3 linked regions of the Stegostoma tigrinum genome follow. The protein of the gene in region 1 purifies or fractionates together with the protein of each later gene. This does not show direct contact. Links are inferred from orthologs where the notes say so. Each region holds a gene or a part of one and is shown on either strand. Other genes may lie near its edges. The genes, in order: myosin-9-like, enkur and sptan1.

Region 1 (6,969 bases):
GTGGGGTGGGGGGAGATTCTGCCACACTGGGCCGAGATTCCAGGGTGAGGCACTGCCATGCCAAGCTGAGAGACTGCCATGGGCCATTGAGAGACGGGGCCAAGACACTGCCATACTAGGTTGAGAAACCAGCATGGGCTGCTGAGAGATGGGGCCAAGGCACCACTACATTGGGCCGAGAAACTGCCATGGGCCACCAAGAGACTCAGCCGAGAGACTGCCAGAGGCTGAGAGGAGACCTCACTGGGTCTGCATTGAGGCCGCGTGTGAAGAAAAGAAACACCAGGAGAGAAAAAAAAGAGAAAGAAATAGGAAAGAAATGGATAGAGTGGATGACCTCCTGCTGAAGCATCCTACTCCGGTGCCAATAGGAGGAAAGGAGCAATGTGTGTATCATCTTCTTAATATCACATCAGGGAGTGATACACTACTGTCTACTACAGACAGATAGTTTCAGGACAGGATTTCTCTTTCTTTGAGGTCAGTTTAGCTCAGTTGATTCTCATCTTTAAGTCAGCGGCTTCAACCTTAAAGCTTGCTCCTGGGCTTGAACATATCATCTAGCTGATACTTCAAAAGGCATAGAGAGTGCTGCATTGTTGGAAATGTTATATTTTAGATCAGCAATTAAGGTCTGATCTGTATTTTTATGTGAATGGAGAGATCCTACAACATTATTTATCTGAAAAAGATCATGGGGAGATGGATGATCTATCAATATCATAGGTGATATACTAGTGTTGTCATTAGACTAGTAATCCAGATATCTAGGCTAAAGCTCTTGGGACATGGGTTCAAATCCAACAATGTTCAACTTGAACTTAGTGAATAAATCTGGAACTAAAAGCTAATTTCATGGTAAGCATGAAGTAATTGCCAAAAACATCTGGTTCATGAATGCCCTTTGGATTGGGAAAATTTGCTATATTCACCTGGTGTAACCTGCAGTGAGCAAAGCAGTACTTACTCAGCAATAACCTACTCACTGTCGCTCAGTTTGTCTGGCCCACTGAGTTACTGTCCTCATTATAGGCTGGGTCCAAACATGAATAAAAGAGATGAACCTGTGAAGGAAAGTGAGGGTGATTGCCTTTGACATTAAGGCAACATTTGAACAAGTGTGGCACCAAGAAACCCTAGCCAAATGGGAATCAGAGGGAAAGCTCTTTGTTACTTGGAGTCATATTTAACGTAAAGTAAGATGTCTGTGGTCGTTGGTGATCAATCATCTTAGCCACAAGAAATCACTGCAGGAATTCCTCAGCTGTTTCAACAATTATGCACCCTTCATCATAAGGTCAGAAAGGGGCATGTTTATGGATGATTACACAATATTCAGAGCCATCATAGCTCCTTACATACTGAGGTAGCACAGTATGGAGCTGGAGGAACATAGCAGGCCAGGCAGCATCAGAGGAGCAGGAAAGTTGACGTTTTGGGTCAGGACCTTCTTCAGAAATGGGAAGGAGCAAGGGAGCTCAGAAATAGAGAGAGGGGTGGGGCTGGGGAAGGTAGGTGGGATGGTGATAGGTGCGTGCAGGTAGGGAGTGGGGGGATTGGTCGGTGTGATGTGTTGGGTAGATAGAAGATCGACAAATTGTGTCAGGTCAAGGAGGGGGGATGAGAGGGAGGGTTAGACACGGGATGAGGCCGGGCATAGGGAGATTTTAAAACTGGTGACATCAGTGTTTAGGCCATTGAGCTGTAGGCTCCCAAGGCAGAATGTGAGGTGGTGCTCTGCCAGTTTGTGGGTGGTGTCATTGTGACACTGAAGGAGGCCCAGGATAGACATGTCACCCAGGGAGTGGGAGGAGGAGTTAAAATGGTTGGTGACTGGAAGGTGTTGTTGTTAGCTCCGTACTGTATTGTCTCTGACTCCGGCATCTGCAGTTCTTGCTATCTCCTTAGATACTGAAACAGTCAGTGTCCAAATGCAGCAAGATCCTGACTTGGGCTGATAAGTGGAAAGGAGCATTTGCAATACACAAGTGCCAAGTAATGACCATCTCCAACAATACAGAATTCAACCATCTGCCCATGATGCATTATCATTCATAGTTGAATCTCCAACTATCAATATTCTGGGGGTTGCCACTGACTAGAAATGGACCATGACTAGCAATTTTAAACAGTGGCTAAAGCAGTATTAGTTAATTTTTCTTGATTCCAGGGCGGTCAAATGACATTCCAATCATTCTATCAAGATCATAAAACTCCACAACAACTTTTTAACAAACTTCTTGTTGCAGTCACTTCATGAAAAATAAATTAATGAAATGGACTTGACTATGTTGCCACTTGGTGCATATTGATTTAAATTCATGGTAGACCAAATCAAATGCCACAGAACCTAGATCTACCAGTTGTGGTGTTCATTCACTGTTTAGTTAGTTATTCAATTTTCAAATGGTGCTTCTACTGTCAGTTGTAGGATGCTTATGATCAAATAAGTCAACACAAACCAAGAGTGAATCAGGGGACGTTTGGGTTTTGGAATCATTGGACTTTCAAGTCATTGAACAGCCACTTATTGAATTGTTTTGGCAGCTTTGGTATGGCCTTTCGTCAGTTTGAATACCTTTCTTATCAGAGAATGTTCAGAGCTGCTTGTTATCAATTGCAGGGAAAATGATATGATGTGATGTGATAGAATGAGTATTTTTACGACTGTTAACAAGAAGTAATGATATACACAAAAATATTAATACAGAATAGAATCCCAGGTAGTGTAGTGCAAAAAACATACATAATTTAGGAATCGACTGGATTCTGTAAAGGGAGGGGAACCTTCAGAATAGTCTGCATTTCTAAATTGTATGCTGATGTCTGTAATTTTGTTATACTGGAAAGTGTGATTGAATCAATTGAACATGTGAGGATATTCATCTTGGTCAGTGGTGCAAAACGGGCAGTACTGGAGATTTTTCTATTCAACTTGTTCAGAGATGTAATTAAACACATTTGGAGCAGAAGTTCTGACAGAATAACTGGATTTGAAACCTTAACTCTGTTTTTCTCCCCAAAGATGCTTTAGACTTGCTGAGTTTCTCCAGCAATTTTTGTTTTTGTTTCAGAATTATTTGCAATTTTTGTCTTTGTTTTACTTTTAAGGCAAATGAAAGGTTGGCTTTTTTTCCAGTCAAAATTGTGTGTGTGGGTAGAGGGAACTCAGTGTGGACCCAGTGGAGCACAGCAGGCCAGGCAGCAACAGAGGAGCAGGAAAGTTGTCGTTTCAGGTCGGGATCCTTCTTCTGAAGATTCTGTTCTGTCAGATAGAATAAGGTAAGATTTTTAATTAGTAAGGGAACCAAAGGTTTTCGGAAAAAGGCAGGTAAGTGGAGTTGAGGTTTATCAGATCAACCGTGGTCTCATTAAATTGGAGAGCAGTTTCAATGGGCTGAATAGCTCAATATTTCTTAACAATGTTCTTATTCTTACCTGGTCAAGCCTACGTGACTCCAAAGTTCCAGTAACATGGTTATTTCTTGACTTCTCTCCGTACAATTAGGGATAGACAGCAGACGTTGGACCAAACAGTTTTGCCCACATACCCATCAACAAATAAAATAAAAATTAAGGCTAAGCAAGTCGGGAGCTACCAATCCCTTCAATTTTGAGCTTTTACCACATCCCCTCCTTCAATGTCCTTCTCCGTTGGCCGACCGAGATGTCGTTCAATCTTACCTCATCACTCCATATGACTGCGGCATTAGCCACTTTCCTGGCTTTGCCGCTGTAGGAGGAGTTATCAGTCAGTTGGAGAGGGAGCTGCCCCGACGATGGGGGATTCTTTCTTGCTATTTGTTATATCGTCTGCCACTCAACTAGCACGGCGCCCGTCTATTGGTCAGGGGTGGAAGTTTACGTCACGGGTGGGATCTGCCCAAACGGTTGGTGCGCGAGCTGCAGTTCGAGAGCTCGAGCGAAGCAGTGAATCGTGACGGACGGACAGCATTTTTAAAATTTTGGATTAAAAAGCGATAAGCAAAGTCCATCTATTTCTATAGATTATAATTCAGGAAGGCGACAGCGTTCGAAAAAAAACTTGAATCTCGGAGGTAAGCGACAGTTTGAAAAAGCACCTTGTTTTTGGTCGATTTATTAAGGCGGAAAAGGGAGAGAAACCAGGAAGAGAGTCAGACACCGGGTTGGGCCGGCGCGCTCGCCGCAGGCAAGAGGCTCCCGACCCAAGACGTCAACTTTCCTGCACCTCTGATGTTGCCTGGCCTGCTGTGTTCCTCCAGCTCCACACTGCTGTCTCGCCACGGGCAATTTCGTTCCTATCAAATTTAAATACTTTTTCCTTTTTAAAAAAAAAGTTCAGAGGATAGCTTTGCTCTATCGACTAACTCTACTGACGAATTTAAAAACTACCTTAATCTGCAAAAGAATTGAGTTTTTTGGAGTTAGTGTGAGCTGGATTGTTAATGCATTTTTGTAATTTTCAAACTCGTGCTAATCAGGGGACAGGTAACATGGAAACCGCCTTTCGCGTTCCAGCCACTATAAAAATGGGCTTGGCTTCCGCTTCTTCGGTTGTATGAACTCCCTGCCTCCTCTTAAAAAAAATCAAATGTGATTTTTCTCTCAGTCTAAAATAATTAGTTGGTAAGATAGCAGTTAAAATGATTACGTCTCTGGGACGTGGAATGCTGGCGAGAGGCATTTCATTGATTTAATATAGAGCAGAATAATCCACTCTTATGTACGCAATTGTCCTATATAAAATATTTTTGGTATCATTTAGCTTGCATAGTTATGTTCTGTTCCAGGACAGTAATGAAAAGCTGCTTTTATGAAGTTAAAATAAAACTTTGAATTTTGAAGAGAGGAGAATTCAATCTTTTCCCCAAGTGCCCATCCCATTATCATTAAAATTGTCAGCACCCTAAGGACAGTAATTGACTTTCTTGTTTCTGACAAGTAAAAACTATGGTGTGAAATGTTACTGTTATAATATCTAACAATTCATTTCCAAAATTAAATGCATAAGGAAACTTTGAAAACGTGGGTTATATAATTTGTGTTTAAGTAAAACACCCTTATGCACCTAGAATATAACCTTTGAATACTTCCTTTTAAAATGGTTAGATTTTTGTTTAAAAAAATTGTTAATTGGATAAATTACATATTCCCCAAATTTGGAGATGATGGTTTAAAAGGAAGAAGTTTAGATGGTGTACAGCTTATTTACCTGAAAGTACTGCAAATGAGGTCATTAAACTGCTTTGCCATATGATAGCTCTTTACCTTCTGCAAATCCTTAGGGCTTCTGCATGAACTAAAGCCCCACCCAGTTCGAAGTGTAAAACTGTAATGTAAGTCAAGAATGACTCATGGAGAAGTGTGCTGATAACTTACAAAAGCCTTCCCGTTAGCTGACTATAACTTTTCTGGAATTTGAAAATGTTATTGCTTCAAAATGCCTGGTAGCTTATACTGCCTACTAGTGAAGGATGCATTTTTACAGAGGTTAAGAATGTCAAAACAAGCTTGAATATTTCCAAAATGCATACTGTTGTTTTTCTTCTGATACTATGAATAATGCAGCAGTGAAATGCTGAGGATCACTTTCCTCATGCTTTTGTTTCCAGTAATGTGACATTGATCAAGCTTTTCTTCTATAAAATTTACATTCACCCAAACTTCTGTTGCTCATGTTCTATGCTTAACTTTTGCTCACCTGTCACTGTTTGAACTATTTGACTTCTGGTTTTGCAATGTTTTGATTTTAAAATTATCATCTTTAATTTTGAGTCCATCTCTTTCCCTTCAACCTCTGATCTCTAGCACTACAGGCTTCAGATTTTTGCACTCTTCAAATTCTGGCGGCTTGTGTGTCCCCATTTTTTCATCCCTGTATAATTGATAGCCTTTGGCTGCCTGAGCCCTAAGCTGTGGAATTCCCTCATTCAGCTGCAGTTCTTCTGTACCTTTTCTTCCTCCCATCCAACCTCGTCTTATTTATTTGAGGTGCTTTATTAAAACCATCCTCTTGTCTGTTTTAATGTCTTGTGTGGCTTGATGTTTAAGTTTGTATGTATTGTTCCTGTGCAGCACCTTGAAATGCTTCATTATATTAAAAGTCCCAAATAAACTATTTATCTACATGATTTATAAGATTTAGTCCATTTAAGTTAGTGTATCTTTCAAAATGTTGTCTGAAATCTCAATATTGTCAATGGGGAGGTTGCCCTGCTTCCTATTTGAGAATAAGTAATTAATAAATTGAGCCATAATTTACTGCAGTAAAAAGACCGTGTCACTTTCAAATGTGGCAAAGGACTTTTGACATTTCTATGGCATTTCAGAAGGTACTGAAATCTTGTAGTTTTGGCATTTGGACATTTTGTAATTATTGAAGTTTTAACTCTGTTATCTTCCTTTAGCTTTATGAAATCATTTGGAAAAAAGTAATCTAAATACTCCATTTGAAATTTCTAAGCTATTTAAATATAATGTTTTTGTACAGGACTAACTTCTGCAGAAATTATCATCTTTTCTGAATGTTCACACTTGGAAAAGGAATTTGGTAGTCAAATGGAACAATAATATAATATATTTCATAAAATAGAATTGGTAATTTATAAAAATCAAACCTGCATACCTTGAAGGTAAAAGCTAAAGGTATAGGTGACAATATGTCTGTATACGATCAAGGTATAAGTAGTCCAAACTCCTTTTTGTCTTGCATGATTTCCAAGTTTCTAGGGCATCAAGGTGTGGTGGCGTGCTTAAGAATGTAGAGTGGTGTTCTGACTTGTTCATGATGGATGTTTCATGTTTCCTTTGCACTGTCTTGCTTTGTTTCTTTCTGGAAAAGCTTTTACATAGGGAGCAGAAGAACAAAAAATGTGAAGTACTTTTTAAAAAGTTGGAAAGAATTTTAATGATATTGGTCTGTATTGGGTACTGTATTCTGCCAAAATTTCAGTGTACCATTCTTGATAACTTAAGATATTTTAAATA
Region 2 (7,982 bases), on another chromosome or scaffold:
TGCTCTTCGGTAGGTTGGTGCAGGCTTGTTGGACTGAATGGCGTGTTTCCACGCTGTGGGGATTCTATAAACTTCTTCACCCAAAGGGTTGTGAATCTATGGAATTCTCTGCCCAGTGAAACAGGTGAGACTGGATGAACACAGCAGGCCAAGAAGCATCTTAGGAGCAGAAAAGCTGGCGTTTCAGGCCTAGACACTTCGTCAGTAAACATTTCTGATGAAGAGTCTAGGCCCAAAGCGTCAGCTTTCCTGCACCTAAGATGCTGCTTGACCTGCTGTGTTCATCCAGCACCACACCTTGTTATCTCAGATTCTCTAGCATCTGCAGCTCCTATTATCTCTGAAGCAGTTGAGACTACCTTGTTGAATGCTATTAAGGCAAAGACTGATTTTTGAACAATAAAGGGGTTAAGGATTATGATGAGCAGGTGGATAAGTACAGCTGAGTCCACAAAAAGATCAGCCATGATCTTACTGAATGGCAGAGCTGGCTCAAGGGGTCAAATGGCCTACTCCTACTCTTATTTCTTATGTCCTTAAATCTTTTCCTCTCACTTCGAACCTATGTCCTCCTTTGCGAAGAGGTATGAATTTAGGTTGTCAGCCTTTTTCGTGTTCCACATATAAATTCCTGCATTAATGACTGTAAGGGAATTACAACAGTTCTCACCAATCTTTTTCTCTTTACCATACCTATAGAACTTTGACAGTTATCTTCCCGCAAGCCTACTCTCTACTCAATTTCCCCTCTTCTTAATCAATTTTTTGATCCTCCTTTGCTGACTTCTAAACTGTTCGCAATCCTCAGGACTTTTTATGGTGTTTTTCTTGTCAATTTGTATACCTCTTGTTTGCATTTAGTATTATAACTAACTTCCATTATACCCCATTGTTTAGCCACTGTTCTCTCTGCACTCTTGCACCAGATAGAAATAAACATTTTTTTGCAGTTCACCCATTCGCTCTTTGAATGTTTGCCATTACCTATCCACTGTCATTCCCCTCAGTAATATTTCCCACTTCATCACAACTAACACCTACTTTCTATCTTTATTTCTACTTTTTTCACTAAAGATCCTCAGAGAGCACCATCCAAACCCACTACCATTTCCATCTAGAAGGACAAGGGCAGCTGACGTATGAGAACAGCACCACCTTCAAGTTCCACTTAAAGCCACTCGCCATCCTGACATATACATCACTACTGTCTTCACAAAAAAGGACATAGGTTCAAAGTGAGAGGAAAAACTTTAACAACATGAGAAACAAGAGTAGGAGTGGGCCATTTGACCCCTTGTGCCTGCTCTGCCATTCAGTAAGATCATGGCTGATCTTTTTATGGACTCAGCTCTACTTATCTATCTGCTCATTGGAACTCTTAATTCCTTTCTTGTTCAAAAATCAATCTTTGCCTTAATAATGTTCAACAAGGTAGTGTCAACTGCTTCACCGGGCAGAGAATTCCATTGATTCACAGCCCTTTTGGTGAAGAAGTTTATAGAATTACCACCTGAAACATATCTCCGTTCCTTCACTGTTGCAGGGTCAGATCTGGGAATTCCCTCCCTAATAGCATTGTGGGCCAACTTACAGCAGGTGGACAGCAAGCGATTCAAGAAGGCAACTCACCACCACCTTCACAAGGGCAATTAGGGATGGTCAAGAAATGCTGGCCCAGTCAGAGAAGCCCACATCCCACAAATGCATGGAATCTCCCTTGTCTTTCTGGTTTTCCCCTTCCACGGGTGGGGGCAGGTTTTGGTCAATGTTTTGACCATGCACAGATAGGGCAGCGGGGCGGAAATGACTGAAACAGAAGCGGTTCTCCCTGCGACTCCTGAAACAGACACTCGCAGCCATGTGCCGGCACCTCCACACACTGCAATCCAGCCTGCCCCAGCTCAGAGCCTCCATCTCCCAGACCTGCAAAGGACCCCTGCTGTTTTTTACCCTCCGCAGGATCCACAGACTGAACACCCAGTTCCACTCAGCTTTATTGGACACCAAAAATCGTAAGTACAACCAACTCACGGGCCCCTGCCACCCACTAGAGGATTCCTGCGCCTCCCAAATCCCGACTCTGTCCCTGCCCCTCTCCCACCATGCACCCGCCGCCATTGACCATGAGGACACGGCCGGAGACCCCACCGATGACGTCACATCCGCCTCCGCCGGCCACAGAACTTCCGGAACCGCTGCTGCAGTCACCACCTCCACGTCCAGGTACAACACCCGACACACCACCCTCACCTCAGCTGCTGCCGCCCACCCCCATCCTCCAACCGCCGACGGAACCCCGCCCACGGTCGACGCCAACAGAACCCCGCCCATGGCCGACGCCGACGGAACCCCGCCCACGGCCGACGCCGACGGAACCCCGCCCACGGCCGACGCCGACGGAACCCCGCCCACGGCCGACGACCTCATCGCTCCGCCCACAACCTCCACAGCCAGCAACCCCAGAGAAGACAGCCACACTGAGCCCTCCCCCCAGACCTCCCACTGACTGAGGACGAACGGTCAGTCCTTAGCAAGGGGCTCACCTTTGTCCCCCTACAACCACACATCAACGAATACCAGTCACGGTTGGACATAGAGCAGTTTTTCCGCCGTCTTCGCCTCCATGCCTACTTCTTCAACCGGGAACCCAACCCTCCTTCCACTGACCCCTTCACCCGCTTCCAACACAAGTCCTCCTCCTGGACACCACCCCCAGGCCTCCTACCCTCCCTCGACCTCTTCATCTCCAACTGCCGTCGAGACATTAACCGCCACAACCTCTCCACCCCTCTCACCCACTCCAACCTCTCCCCCGCAGAACGGGCAGCCCTCCGCTCCAACCCCAACCTCACCATCAAACCCGCAGACAAGGGTGGCGCAGTGGTAGTATGGCGCACTGACCTCTACATCGCCGAGGCCAGACGCCAACTCTCCGACACCACCTCCTACCACCTCCTCGATCATGACCCCACACCCGAGCACCAAACCATCATCTCCAACACCATTCACGACCTCATCACCACAGGGGACCTCCCACCCACAGCCTCCAACCTCATTGTTCCCCAACCCCGCACGGCCCGTTTCTATCTTCTTCCCAAAATCCACAAACCTGCCTGCCCTGGTCGACCCATCGTCTCAGCCTGCTCCTGCCCCACCGAACTCATCTCCACCTATCTGGACTCCATTTTCTCCCCTTTGGTCCAGGAACTCCCCACCTACGTCCGTGACACCACCCACGCCCTCCACCTCCTCCAGGACTTCCAATTCCCTGGCCCCCAACACCTCATATTCACCATGGACGTCCAGTCCCTGTACACCTGCATTCCGCATGGAGATGGCCTCAAGGCCCTCCGCTTCTTCCTGTCCCGCAGGCCCGACCAGTCCCCCTCCACCGACACTCTCATCCGCCTAGCTGAACTCGTCCTCACACTCAACAACTTCTCTTTTGACTCCTCCCACTTCCTACAGACTAAGGGGGTGGCCATGGGCACCCGCATGGGCCCCAGCTATGCCTGCCTCTTTGTAGGTTACGTGGAACAGTCCCTCTTCCGCACCTACACAGGCCCCAAACCCCACCTCTTCCTCCGGTACATTGATGACTGTATCGGCGCCGCCTCTTGCTCCCCAGAGGAGCTCGAACAGTTCATCCACTTCACCAACACCTTCCACCCCAACCTTCAGTTCACCTGGGCCATCTCCAGCACATCCCTCACCTTCCTGGATCTCTCAGTCTCCATCTCAGGCAACCAGCTTGTAACTGATGTCCATTTCAAGCCCACCGACTCCCACAGCTACCTGGAATACACCTCCTCCCACCCACCCTCCTGCAAAAATTCCATCCCCTATTCCCAATTCCTCCGCCTCCGCCGCATCTGCTCCCACGATAAGACATTCCACTCCCGCACATCCCAGATGTCCAAGTTCTTCAAGGACCGCAACTTTCCCCCCACAGTGATCGAGAACGCCCTTGACCGCGTCTCCCGTATTTCCCGCAACACATCCCTCACACCCCGCCCCCGCCACAACCGCCCCAAGAGGATCCCCCTCGTTCTCACACACCACCCTACCAACCTCCGGATACAACGCATTATCCTCCGACACTTCCGCCATTTACAATCCTACTCCACCACCCAAGACATTTTTCCATCCCCTCCCCTGTCAGCTTTCCGGAGAGACCACTCTCTCCGTGACTCCCTTGTTCCCTCCACACTGCCCTCCAACCCCACCACACCTGGCACCTTCCCCTGCAACCGCAGGAAATGCTACACTTGTCCCCACACCTCCTCCCTCACCTCCATCCCAGGCCCCAAGATGACATTCCACATTAAGCTGAGGTTCACCTGCACATCTGCCAATGTGGTATACTGCATCCACTGTACCCGGTGCGGCTTCCTCTACATTGGGGAAACCAAGCGGAGGCTTGGGGACCGCTTTGCAGAACACCTCCGCTCAGTCCGCAACAAACAACTGCACCTCCCAGTCGCAAACCATTTCCACTCCCCCTCCCATTCTCTAGAGGACATGTCCATCATGGGCCTCCTGCAGTGCCACAATGATGCCACCCGAAGGTTGCAGGAACAGCAACTCATATTCCGCCTGGGAACCCTGCAGCCATATGGTATCAATGTGGACTTCACCAGTTTCAAAATCTCCCCTTCTCCTACTGCATCCCTAAACCAGCCCAGTTCGTCCCCTCCCCCCACTGCACCACACAACCAGCCCAGCTCTTCCCCCCCACCCACTGCATCCCAAAACCAGTCCAACCTGTCTCTGCCTCCCTAACCTGTTCTTCCTCTCACCCATCCCTTCCTCCCACCCCAAGCCGCACCCCCAGCTACCTACTAACCTCATCCCACCTCCTTGACCTGTCCGTCTTCCCTGGACTGACCTATCCCCTCCCTACCTCCCCACCTATCTTCTTTACTCTCCATCTTCGGTCCGCCTCCCCCTCTGTCCCTATTTATTCCAGTTCCCTCTCCCCATCCCCCTCTCTGATGAAGGGTCTAGGCCTGAAACGTCAGCTTTTGTGCTCCTGAGATGCTGCTGGGCCTGCTGTGTTCATCCAGCTTCACATCTTATTATCTCGGAAATGACGTATGCTGGCCTAAGTCTGTTGGTGGTAACGGTGGCTATGGCAACGTGGCTTCGTGGTCTTTCTCGTTCCACCAGCTTCAAACGGTTTGTCGGATCTCCGCGATGGACGACGAGACTCCGAGTGAGTGTATTTACAACCTGCTGCCCCGGCCCCAGCCTCCGCCTCGCCACCGCCTCAAGTGAGTTTCCGGACAGAATGCTTGTTTCCAAAACATGGAACTGACCCCGCCAGGTGTCGTTCAGGGAGTAGGAGACCCATCGAAAGATCGGGGGTTTGGGGAGAGAGAGAGAGAGAGAGAATGTGGGGAGGGAAGGGAAGGAGAAAGAGAATGTGGGGAATGGAGAGAGGGAGTTTGGAGAGATGGAGCGAATAGATGGAAGAGAAAGATGGGGAGTTTGGAGAGAGGGAAGAAGTGCATGGAGGAAAAAGATGGGGTTTAGAGGAGGAGGGACGACGGACAGAGGGCTTGGATAGGCGGAAGGAGAGGAGGGACGACGGACAGAGAAAATGACAAAAAAGTGAATGAGTGCGGGTTGAGGACAGTGAGGGGATTTGGAGACATGGAAGGAGAGAGAGTGGGGTTTTTCAAATGAGGGAAGAGAGGGTAGAGGGAATCTGGATCTTAGAGTTTGGAAAGAAGGAACAGGTGAGTGCGGTTAGAGTGAAGGTGATGGTTGGAGAGAGGGTATAAGGGAACGGAGTTATGGTTTGGAGAGAGAGAGTCAACGACGAGCTAGAGTATGGAGGGAGAGATTTTGCTTTGATATGGAGGACTGAGGGAGACAGAATTTACCGAAAGGGAAGGGGGCAGAAAAGTGATATAAAGCCGCAGAGATTGAGATGAAGAGAAGGAATGAATGGAAAGGAGACTCTCAAGGGACGGAATGAGAGAAATTGAGTCAAAAGTGGAAAGCATAAAGAACGAGAGAATGAATAAAGATGTGTCTGAGAAGAACAAATAATGGGGGATAAGAAGCATGGTTTTAGAATTTTTGAATCTTTAACTTGGAGAATGGTTTGCAGTCAAGTGTATAGCTTTGTCCAGCCTGGTCTTGAATCTCCTGAATGCTGTGAAGAGGTAGTGAACAGACATTTGGGGCTAAGGTGAGTCACTTGGTGCAGGATACCTTATCTTGACTATTTATTTATGCAGCTGGTCCAGTTAAGTTTTCTGATCACTAATAACCATTAGGAAAGTATTTCTTCTGGATTTGCTGATGATATTGCTATTAAATGTCAAGCAGATATAGTTTATGTCCCTTTTTATTGGAGATGGTTATTGTTTGGCATTTGAGAGGTAAATATTACTTATTCTATGAAATATACTTTTCATTCAAAATGAAACATGGAATTCTGGATAAACACCTCAGCTCAGACACATATCTGTATGATCTGGTTGTCATAAGAGGAGAGGCGCGAACAGAAATCTGTTGAGGTGGGAGTAAAAAGATGTTAAAAAGACAGCTGCTGTTTGAACTGGAGGCTGACGTGGTAGGGAGAAGTGACATTCCATTGGCGAGCTAGGAGTGACTGTGGAACTGTTCTTGAAATGCTACAAATCTGTTCAAAGTATGGCGCACTGAAACATTTTGTAAATGGAAAATCATGCTTCTTTGAGATTAATGTATTAGTTGCCACTCAGTAATGTTTGATCTCTGTAAGTTTTTAGTTTTCTGGCAAAGAACAATTCTTAACATCTTGTCCTTTTAGTTCTTCCTGTCAGTTGCAGGGGAAATTCATCTCTTTATAAAATTTAGATACTTTATGGGAATTGTAACAAACAAGAGACTGTTACACGATAGATCTCAGTGGCTTTGAAATAGATACCTTGGAGTTTTCCATCATTTAAAAAAGATTTCACATTTCTTTGTGTTGTTTTCACAGGAAAGACAACGTGGCTAATTCTACCCCTCAGACAATTTTAGAGACAGATTTGTTAGGAAGTTTACAGAAAAAGTTTTAAAATGTGGGACATTGTGTTTCAGTTCTACCTATTAGTCACTTGAAAATCTCTTAAAATTCTTTCATTGTCTACAGGGATTGTAATATCCTCTGTTTACAGTAAAAATTTTAAAATGTGGAACCTTATTTTTCTGTTCCACCTATTAGTCACTTGAAAATCTCTTTTAAAACGTTTTTAGTGTCTACGGGGATTGTAATACTCCCTGTTTATCAGCCTAAGTCTGGATGTTGTCCAGGGCTTGCTACTCATATATATCATTATCAGAGAAATGGTGAAGGAAGCTGGATGGAATATTGTGCAATCACCAGCTGTTGCAATCCCCTTGGAGGCTAATAATCTTTTAAATGATATTTAAATTCCCAGTCATTGACTTAGATGATTTGCTTAACATGAGTACTAACAAGTATAGAAATAGGAGAATAGGGCAGATGAATACATGGCAATAGAGAAGGTGCAGGCAGGAGGGATTCCTGGATTACTGGGACCATTTCTGGGAAAGGTTGAACCAGCACAAGTGAAGCATTGTGCATCTGAACCAAAATGGAACCTTGTGTATTGGTTTGCTAGAGCTGTTGGGAGGAGTTTAAGCTAGTTCAACAGGAGGGTGGGACACAGAGTATTAGGACAATAAGGACACAACTTACTATAATAAAGGAGCCAAGACAGATAGAGTTCAGCTATATTGAATTGCAAGTGTGTAAGTAGTATCATACGTGAAGCTGAAGAGTTAAGGGTGCAGATTGACACATGGAATTCTGATATTGTTGCCATCACAAAAATGTGGTTGAGGAAGGAACAGGAGTGTCAATACAACATTCTGGTGTTTAGGATCTTTAGGAGAGGTGGGGAGGATGCAATAGAAGAGATGGTATTGGACTATTAATTAACAAGTTAGTTACTCCAATAGGGAGGAATGATTTTTTT
Region 3 (7,740 bases), on another chromosome or scaffold:
CTAAATCTGTCTGCTCCAAGGAGAATAGAACCCATGTCTATAATCTTTCCTTGAGTTTAAAATCCCCCATTCATGTTACCATCTAATATATCTCCTTTGAACTCTCTCCAAGGCTTTAAGTCTTTTCCTTAAAAAAGGTGTCCAGAACTCAAAACAATACTCCAGATATTAACTGCTCAATGATTTATAGAGGTGTAGCACCATTACCTTGCTTTTATACTCTATGCCTCTAGTAATAAACCCAAGGATCCTATAAGCCGCCTTAACAACTTTTTCAAGTTGCCTGGCCATCTTCAGAGAATTACACACTTGAACCCTGAGGTTTTTCTGCTCCTGTACTTCCCTCAAAGTTGTACTATTGAACCCATACTGTCTCTCCAAGTTTCTTCTAACAAATCCATGACCTGACTTTTTTGCATTGAAATTCATGTCCATCAGAAGTCACTCAGCATCATCCTCACAATTCACTATTCTCCTTAGCTTATAGATTTTGCTGTCAACTCCCATCTCCAAATCATTTATATAAATCAGAAAAAGGGTCCCAACACCAATCCCAGGGAACACCACTTTCAACTCGTCACCAGTTTGAGAAATGTCCATCTATACCTACCCATTTTTTCCTATATTTTGACCAATTTTTAATCCATGCTGCCAAAGACTCATAAATTCCAAGCATTTCTAATTTGCTAACCAACCTGCAACTTGGCACTACAGCATACACTTTCTGAAAGTTCAAATATACAACATCCACAACATCACAAATATACTCTCATCCACTGCCAATGTCACACTGTCAAAAAAACTCAATTACGTTTGTCAACCATGACCTGCCCTTGACATGTTGACTGTCTAGTATTAACTAGTCTTATGGCACAGAAATAAGCCATATGGCCCATTGTGCCTGTGTGGCTTTTCAAAAGAGCATCATTATCTAGTTGCAAACTTATGCACATTATTTTTCCACTAAATCTCCAATGCCTCTTGAATGTCTCAATTGAACCTGCCTCTTGTCCCTTGTCCCTGAACTTGTCCCTTTCAGGGACTGCAGTCCAAACCCTAGATAACAAGGTGTATAGCTGGATGAATTATCTCACAGTCCAAACCCTAATCACTGACTGCATAAAAATGATATTTTTCCTCAAATCATTTTTTTTACAAATCATTTTATTGTTCCTTTTACAAACTTGAACAGTTTCTCCCTATTGATTTTATCCAGGCCACTTTAATTAACAGTTCAGTCTCCATAGTTCTGCTTTCATGCACTCATAGTTGCCCTTATTTTAGTTACAAGCGTGATGGAGACTCATGTGGCACAATGAAAGTGTCCCCAGGAGTCCCAGGTTCAAGTCCCACCTGTCCCAGAGGTATATAGAACATACAGAACATAGAACATTACAGCACAGTGCAGGCCCTTCAGCCCTCGATGTTGTGCTGACCTGTCATACCGATCTCAAGCCCATCTAACCTACAGTATTCCATGTACGTCCATATACTCATCCAATGACGACTTAAAAGGACGTAAAGTTGGCGAATCTACTACCGTTGCAGGCAAAGCGTTCCATTCCCTTACTACTCTCTGAGTAAAGAAACTACCTCTGACGTCTGTCCTATATCTTTCACCCCTCAATTTAAACCTATGCTCCCTCGTGCTCGCCATCATCATCCTAGGAAAAAGGCTCTCCCTATCCACCCTATCTAACCCTCTGATTATTTTATTTGTTTCAATTAAGTCACGTCTCAACCTTCTCTCTAATGAAAAGAGCCTCAAGTCCCTCAGCCTTTCCTCATAAGACCTTCCCTCCATACCAGACAACATCCTAGGTAATCTCCTCTGCACCCTTTCCAAAGCTTCCACATCCTTCTTATAATGCAGTGACCAGAACTGTACGCAATACTTCAAGTTCGGCCGCACCAGAGTTTTGTACAGCTGCAGCATAACCTCTTGGTTCCGGAACTTGATCCCTCTATTAATAAAATCTAAAACACTGTATGCCTTCTTAACAGCCCTGTCAACCTGGGTGGCAACTTTCAATGATCTGTGTACATGGACACTGAGATCTCTCTGCTCATCTACACTACTAAGAATCTTACCATTAGCCCAGTACTTTGCCTTCCGGTTACTCCTACCAAAGTGCATCACCTCACACTTGTCTGCATTAAATTCCATTTGCCACCTCTCAGCCCAGCTCTGCAGCTTATCTATGTCTCTCTGCAACCTACAACATCCTTCGTCACTATCCACAACTTCACCGACCTTAGTGTCGTCTGCAAATTTACTAACCCATCCTTCTACGCCCTCATCCAGGTCATTTATAAAAATGACAAACAGCAGTGGACCCAACACCGAACCTTGCGGGACACCACTAATAATTGGTCTCCAGGATGGACATTTCTCATCAACTACCACCCTCTGTCTTCTTTCAGCAAGCCAATTTCCGATCCAAACTGCTATATCTCCCACAATTCCATTCCTCCGCATTTTATACAATAGCCTACTGTGGGGAACCTTATCGAACGCCTTGCTGAAATCCATATACACCACATCAACCGGTTTACTCTCATCTACCTGTTTGGTCACCTTCTCAAAGAACTCAATAAGGTTTGTGAGGCACGACCTTCCCTTCACAAAACCGTGCTATCCGTAATCAATTTATTCTTTTCTAGATGATGATAAATCCTATCCCTTATAACCTTTTCCAACACTTTACCAACAACTGAGGTAAGGCTCACAGGTCTATAATTACCAGGGTTGTCTCTACTCCCCTTCTTGAACAGGGGAACCACATTTGCTTTCCTCCAATTGTCTGGCACTATTCCTGCAGACAATGACGAGTTAAAGATCAATGCCAAAGGCTCGGCAGTCTCCTCCCTGGCTTCCCAGAGGATCCTAGGATAAATCTCACCCGGTCCAGGGGACTTATCTATCTTCACCCTCTGTAGGATTTCTAATACCTCTTCCTTGTGAACCTCAATCCCACCTAGTCTAGTAGCCTGTATCTCAGTATTCTCCTCGACAACATTGTCATTTTCTAGAGTGAAGACTATTGAAAAATATTCATTTAGTGCTTCCCCTATCTCCTCTGACTCCACACACAACTTACCACTACTATCCTTGATTGGGCCTAATCTTACTTTCCTCATTTTTTTATTCCTTAAATACCTATAGAAAGCCTTAGGGTTTATCCTGATCCTATCCACCAACAACTTCTCATGTCTCCTCCTGGCTCTTCTGAGCTCTCTCTTTAGGTCTTTCCTGGCTACCTCGTAGCCCTCAAGCGCCCTAACTGAGCCTTCACATCTCATCCTAACATAAGCCTTTTTCTTCCTCTTGACCAGAGATTCCACCTCCTTCATAAACCACGGCTCCCGCGCTCTACAGCTTCCTCCCTGCTGACAGGTACATACTTATCTAGGACACACAGGAGCTTTTCCTTGAATAAGCTCCACATTTCTAATGTGCCCATCCCCTGCAGTTCCCTTCCCCATCCTATGCTCCCTAAATCTTGCCTAATCTCATCGTAATTGCCTTTCCCCCAGCTATAACTCTTGCCTAGTGGTATACACCTATCCCTTTCCATCACTAAAGTAAACATAACAGAATTGTGATCGCTATCACCAAAGTGCTCACCTACTTCCAAATCTAATACCTGGCCAGGCTCATTACCCAGTACCAAATCTAATGTGGCTTTGCCCCTTGTTGGCCTATCTACATACTGTCAGGAAGCCCTCCTGCACACACTGGACAAAAACTGACCCATCTATAGTACTCGAACTGTAGTGTTCCCAGTCAATATTTGGAAAGTTGAAGTCCCCTATAGGTATATAACTCTGCTGAACAGATTGATGAGAAAATAAAAATCTACAAGAGCGAGTCTTGAACCCAAGGGTCATAGAATATAGAACAGTTTTCTGAAGAAGGGTCTCAGCCCGAAACGTCAGCCTTCCTGCTCCTCTGATGCTGCTTGGCCTGCTGTGTTCATCCAGCTCTACGCCTTGTAGCACAGAAACATGCCCTTTGGCCCACGATGTCTCAAATACCATGAAGCCTCTCAAAACTAATCCCATCTGCCTGCACATGGTCCATATCCTTGCCTTGTTTATGTGTTTGTCCGGATGCCTCTTAAACTATGCTGTAGCCGAGTCTTCTCTCCCTCACACGTTAGTCTGGACAGCACTTCTGGAAGCAAAAGGAAGTTTTGAAAGCGGTGTGGTCAGGGTGGAGATGTCCAAAGATGCGCTGTTTAGGTGGACGGCCATGCTATTTTGGCCCATAGTGACCAGGGATGTACAGGCGAGGTGGGTTAGCCATGAGAAATGCAGGGCTATGGAGACAGACTGGGGTTGGGTGTGGGTGGGATGCTCTTCGGAGAGTCGATGCAGACCGGATGGGCCGAATGGCCTCTTTCCGCACTGTCCGGTTTCTATGAGGCTGCCGAAAGGGTATCCCGGGCGACGGACCGAATTTTCCGAAACCGTTGCGCCATCCGAGCACGGAGCCGGTACAGTATCGGGAGACGGAAAGGGCCGAAAGTGACGTCGTGGCCCCGGCGACGGAATGTGCCGAAGGTGGCCCCGCGGCCTGGGTGACGGAAAGTACCGAGGCTTTTCGGGTTCCTTCGTTTCCTTGCTGCAGAGCAGTGACATCATCGCCGCGGACGGTAAAAAAAGGCCGGTGCGAGCCCGGAGCGAGAGAGTCTGCAGCGATCATCGAGTCGTCGACAACCTTCGGTATGTTTCATACTTATCTGGAAATGTAACGTTTTTTTTGAGGTAGAAATGAGCAGTCGGTCGTCCGTTGAAGGCCACTTCTTTCATTCAAACGGGCACACTTCTTTGCCGCGTTTCTAATTTTGTCTTTTCTCGGAAATATAAAAATGTTTAAAACGAGGAAGCTGTGAGCTAAAATATTTAAAGCATACATTTTCCTTGATGGGTAAGTTGTAAGGGTTTCAGTTAAAGTCGATTTTGTTTTCGGGCGTTGACGCCCGTCTGAGGAGAGCGAAGGAATGTTTGCTAATATATTTTTTTGATCGATAATTATACAGTATATTTCATTTTCAATGTTTTCCTTTTTCGAAGAAAACTTGGCAAATGGAAAATGTAGATTTGTTTTCCTCGTTGCGCATTTTTGTCTCGGTACGTGCATTCACAGACACCACCACAGCATGTTTAAATTCTGTTAGATATGGATTTTTCTCAGGTTTATTATTGTCTTTTCAACCACAATGGACCTTAAAATGGCTGCGGGGGAGGGTGTCCTGCGGCTGTGACCGCAACAAGGTCAGAGAAAATCATATAGATATATAAAACACAATTTGGTGGGTAATCCGTTCTGAGGTTGCTTTGGGTTAAAAAAACATTATTGGCCTTCCACGCTGCATTAGGCTTCATCCCCGGGCATGGGGGAAAATTGTTTTTTAATCTGAAATTAATCCTCCCCAGAAATGGGGACAAGGTTGGGTGAATGGGGAGTGCAGAACCTGTCAGCCATACAGTAAATAGACTTACGGAGTAGGGGCTACAGTTGGTGGCTGAAGAAAAAGTTGTACAGAAATGGCCACCGTTTGGTGAAAATATTGGCATTTTGTGGGCTATATTATGATGAAATATTTATTAATGAGAAAGTTGATGCCTGATATAATTATTGGGATGTTGTAGGTGATATCCAAAACGATTTATTGAAAGAATGCCAACTGCAGAAAGTCAAGATTCATTACGTGTAATTTATTATTGTGGTAATTGATGTTTGGAAGAGACTATTATTCTATAGTAACAGATGTAAAGGCATTTTTTTAGCAACTGTTGCAGACAGGAACATATCAAAAAGGAAAATGCTTCACCAACATAGACCCTTAAAAATTTGAGAGCAGAAAGCTGGGTGGGGCTGAGGATAATGAATTACTGTACAAATGTTCAAGAATTGTGGTAGATGAGTGCTATTTTTGGCTGTTTTTTACATACATGTTCCTTGCATTAATTACAGCTGATTTCTTCACACACCCCCCCCCCCCCGCACCGGTCTGCAAGGTATAAAGTATTATTCTGCCTCTTTTGTGGTTTCATGCTAGGTAAAATTGTTTCTGTTAAGGTTTCCTTTGTAGTAACTGATACATTTGTTTTGACTTCTTAAATTATGTAAATATTTACTTTGTTCTCCTGGCTTCTTAATTAAGCAAATTGTCATCAGTGTCCGTGTCCAACTTTGTACTTGCAGCTTAATATTCAGTAGAGAGGTCAGGCCTGAGTATTATAAATCTAGCTGTCATGATGTAATCATAAGAGACCATGAATTTCTGATGTGTGACATGATATGAAACATTGGCTCATTCTTCATGGATCATTTCATGGATGGATGGATCAATCAGCATTAGGTTTGAATGAGTTTAGCAAATGTGAATGGAATAGAAGCTAGGGAGTTCAAACTATTTTTGTGCGGTTCAGTCATCACCCAAGAAACCTTCAAAAATGTACATAAAACAAGAAATGGCAGATCTCGCAACATATGTGGGGTGGAAAATTTTCAGCTAAATGCTTCAAGCCCAGTGTCCCTATTATAAAAAGAAATCTGCATGTTCACTCATTAACCTCCATGTTCTTACTTCATAAAATGTAAATTGCTGTCTGGAGTTATGCATAATTTAAATACTATCTCAAATATGTAGGGAGGAGACTATTTTATGGTCAAGAAAACAGTTAAAAGTGTAAAATGGTGAAAAGTCCAAAGACCATTGTTAAGAATGTCATTTGGTAATTACAAAATTCAAGTTTAAGCTATGTATGCTATGTCTCAATACACGATTTAATGTTAAAATCCAAATAATTTATATATTATAATATGTGCTGTTTCAGATCTGGTACCTTTCTTAACTCAGAAGTATATTGCAGTTAGGAATCATCACCGTTCTGAACTGTTATATTTGTTTCGCTTCGCAGCTGCTACCTGATCTGCTGAGTATTTTAAGCTCTTTGTCTTCTATACTGCAGGATTTCAGCATCTGCATATGGGACAAAGTTTTTTTGGTTTTTTAAAAAAAGCTTTTTTATTTTGGATGAGGTTTTTTTAATCTATTCATTTTGTGAGATGTGGGTGTCACTGGCTGGCCAGCATTTCTTGCCCATCCCTAGATGTAATTTATTGTGAGTCCCTTTTTCTTTTGCTTCAAAGTTAGAATATCTTCCTATACTGACTGTGTGTGTGTGTGTGTATTGTTTTTGATGAATTATTTTGGAAAAAAACAATAGGGGATTAATTATCTGGAAGTTAGAAGGAAATTTTGCAGTGCAAGTGTTTAGTGTACTGCGTCACCAAAAAATTGTGCAGTGCACAAGTGTGTTCAGGGTGGGGTTTTTTTTTGTATATAGCTCTGGTGATAGGAAATATTTTGAATATCATCTTTCAGTTTATTAAAAATACACGCTATTTTGAATAAATCAATAAATCTTTTTCTTTTTGAAAAAAAAGTACTTTTACTGTAAACATTGTAATGGATAATTTCATGGGAGAAATCAGGATGGAGTTAATCTGTATTCCTAATTGAATGTGGGGTGTGGAATGAGATGTCTGTTTGAACTTCAGTTACAATATTCCAAAACGTGAGTCTGGCAGCTGTTGCATTTTAATGATGCAGCTGGTACAGACGAACTCTACAAAATTTGGCAACACAAAATTAAGACTAAACCTTACTACTGTATCTGATTTTTTTTTCTATAGCGTTTGCTGTATGTGAATTGCTTCTCAGT

What was found.
Region 2: the proteins of myosin-9-like (region 1) and enkur purify together in Homo sapiens (affinity purification with western blotting; 4 studies listed by BioGRID, with this or other methods). This does not show direct contact. The link is inferred for Stegostoma tigrinum from reciprocal best matches to the Homo sapiens genes MYH9 and ENKUR.
Region 3: the proteins of myosin-9-like (region 1) and sptan1 fractionate together in Homo sapiens (co-fractionation; 3 studies listed by BioGRID and IntAct, with this or other methods). This does not show direct contact. The link is inferred for Stegostoma tigrinum from reciprocal best matches to the Homo sapiens genes MYH9 and SPTAN1.

The regions. Positions count from the first base shown.
Region 1 is NC_081391.1:3,548,264-3,555,232, forward strand, and holds the start of myosin-9-like, read left to right. Parts: upstream 1-3,886; 5' UTR 3,887-4,058; intron 4,059-6,969. UniProt on the Homo sapiens protein: Cellular myosin that appears to play a role in cytokinesis, cell shape, and specialized functions such as secretion and capping. Required for cortical actin clearance prior to oocyte exocytosis. Promotes cell motility in conjunction with S100A4.
Region 2 is NC_081355.1:121,134,097-121,142,078, reverse strand, and holds the start of enkur (enkurin), read left to right. Parts: upstream 1-4,966; 5' UTR 4,967-5,037; coding exon 5,038-5,273; intron 5,274-7,982. UniProt on the Homo sapiens protein: Adapter that functions to localize a calcium-sensitive signal transduction machinery in sperm to a calcium-permeable ion channel.
Region 3 is NC_081382.1:41,948,824-41,956,563, forward strand, and holds the start of sptan1 (spectrin alpha chain, non-erythrocytic 1), read left to right. Parts: upstream 1-4,702; 5' UTR 4,703-4,728; intron 4,729-7,711; 5' UTR 7,712-7,740. UniProt on the Homo sapiens protein: Fodrin, which seems to be involved in secretion, interacts with calmodulin in a calcium-dependent manner and is thus candidate for the calcium-dependent movement of the cytoskeleton at the membrane.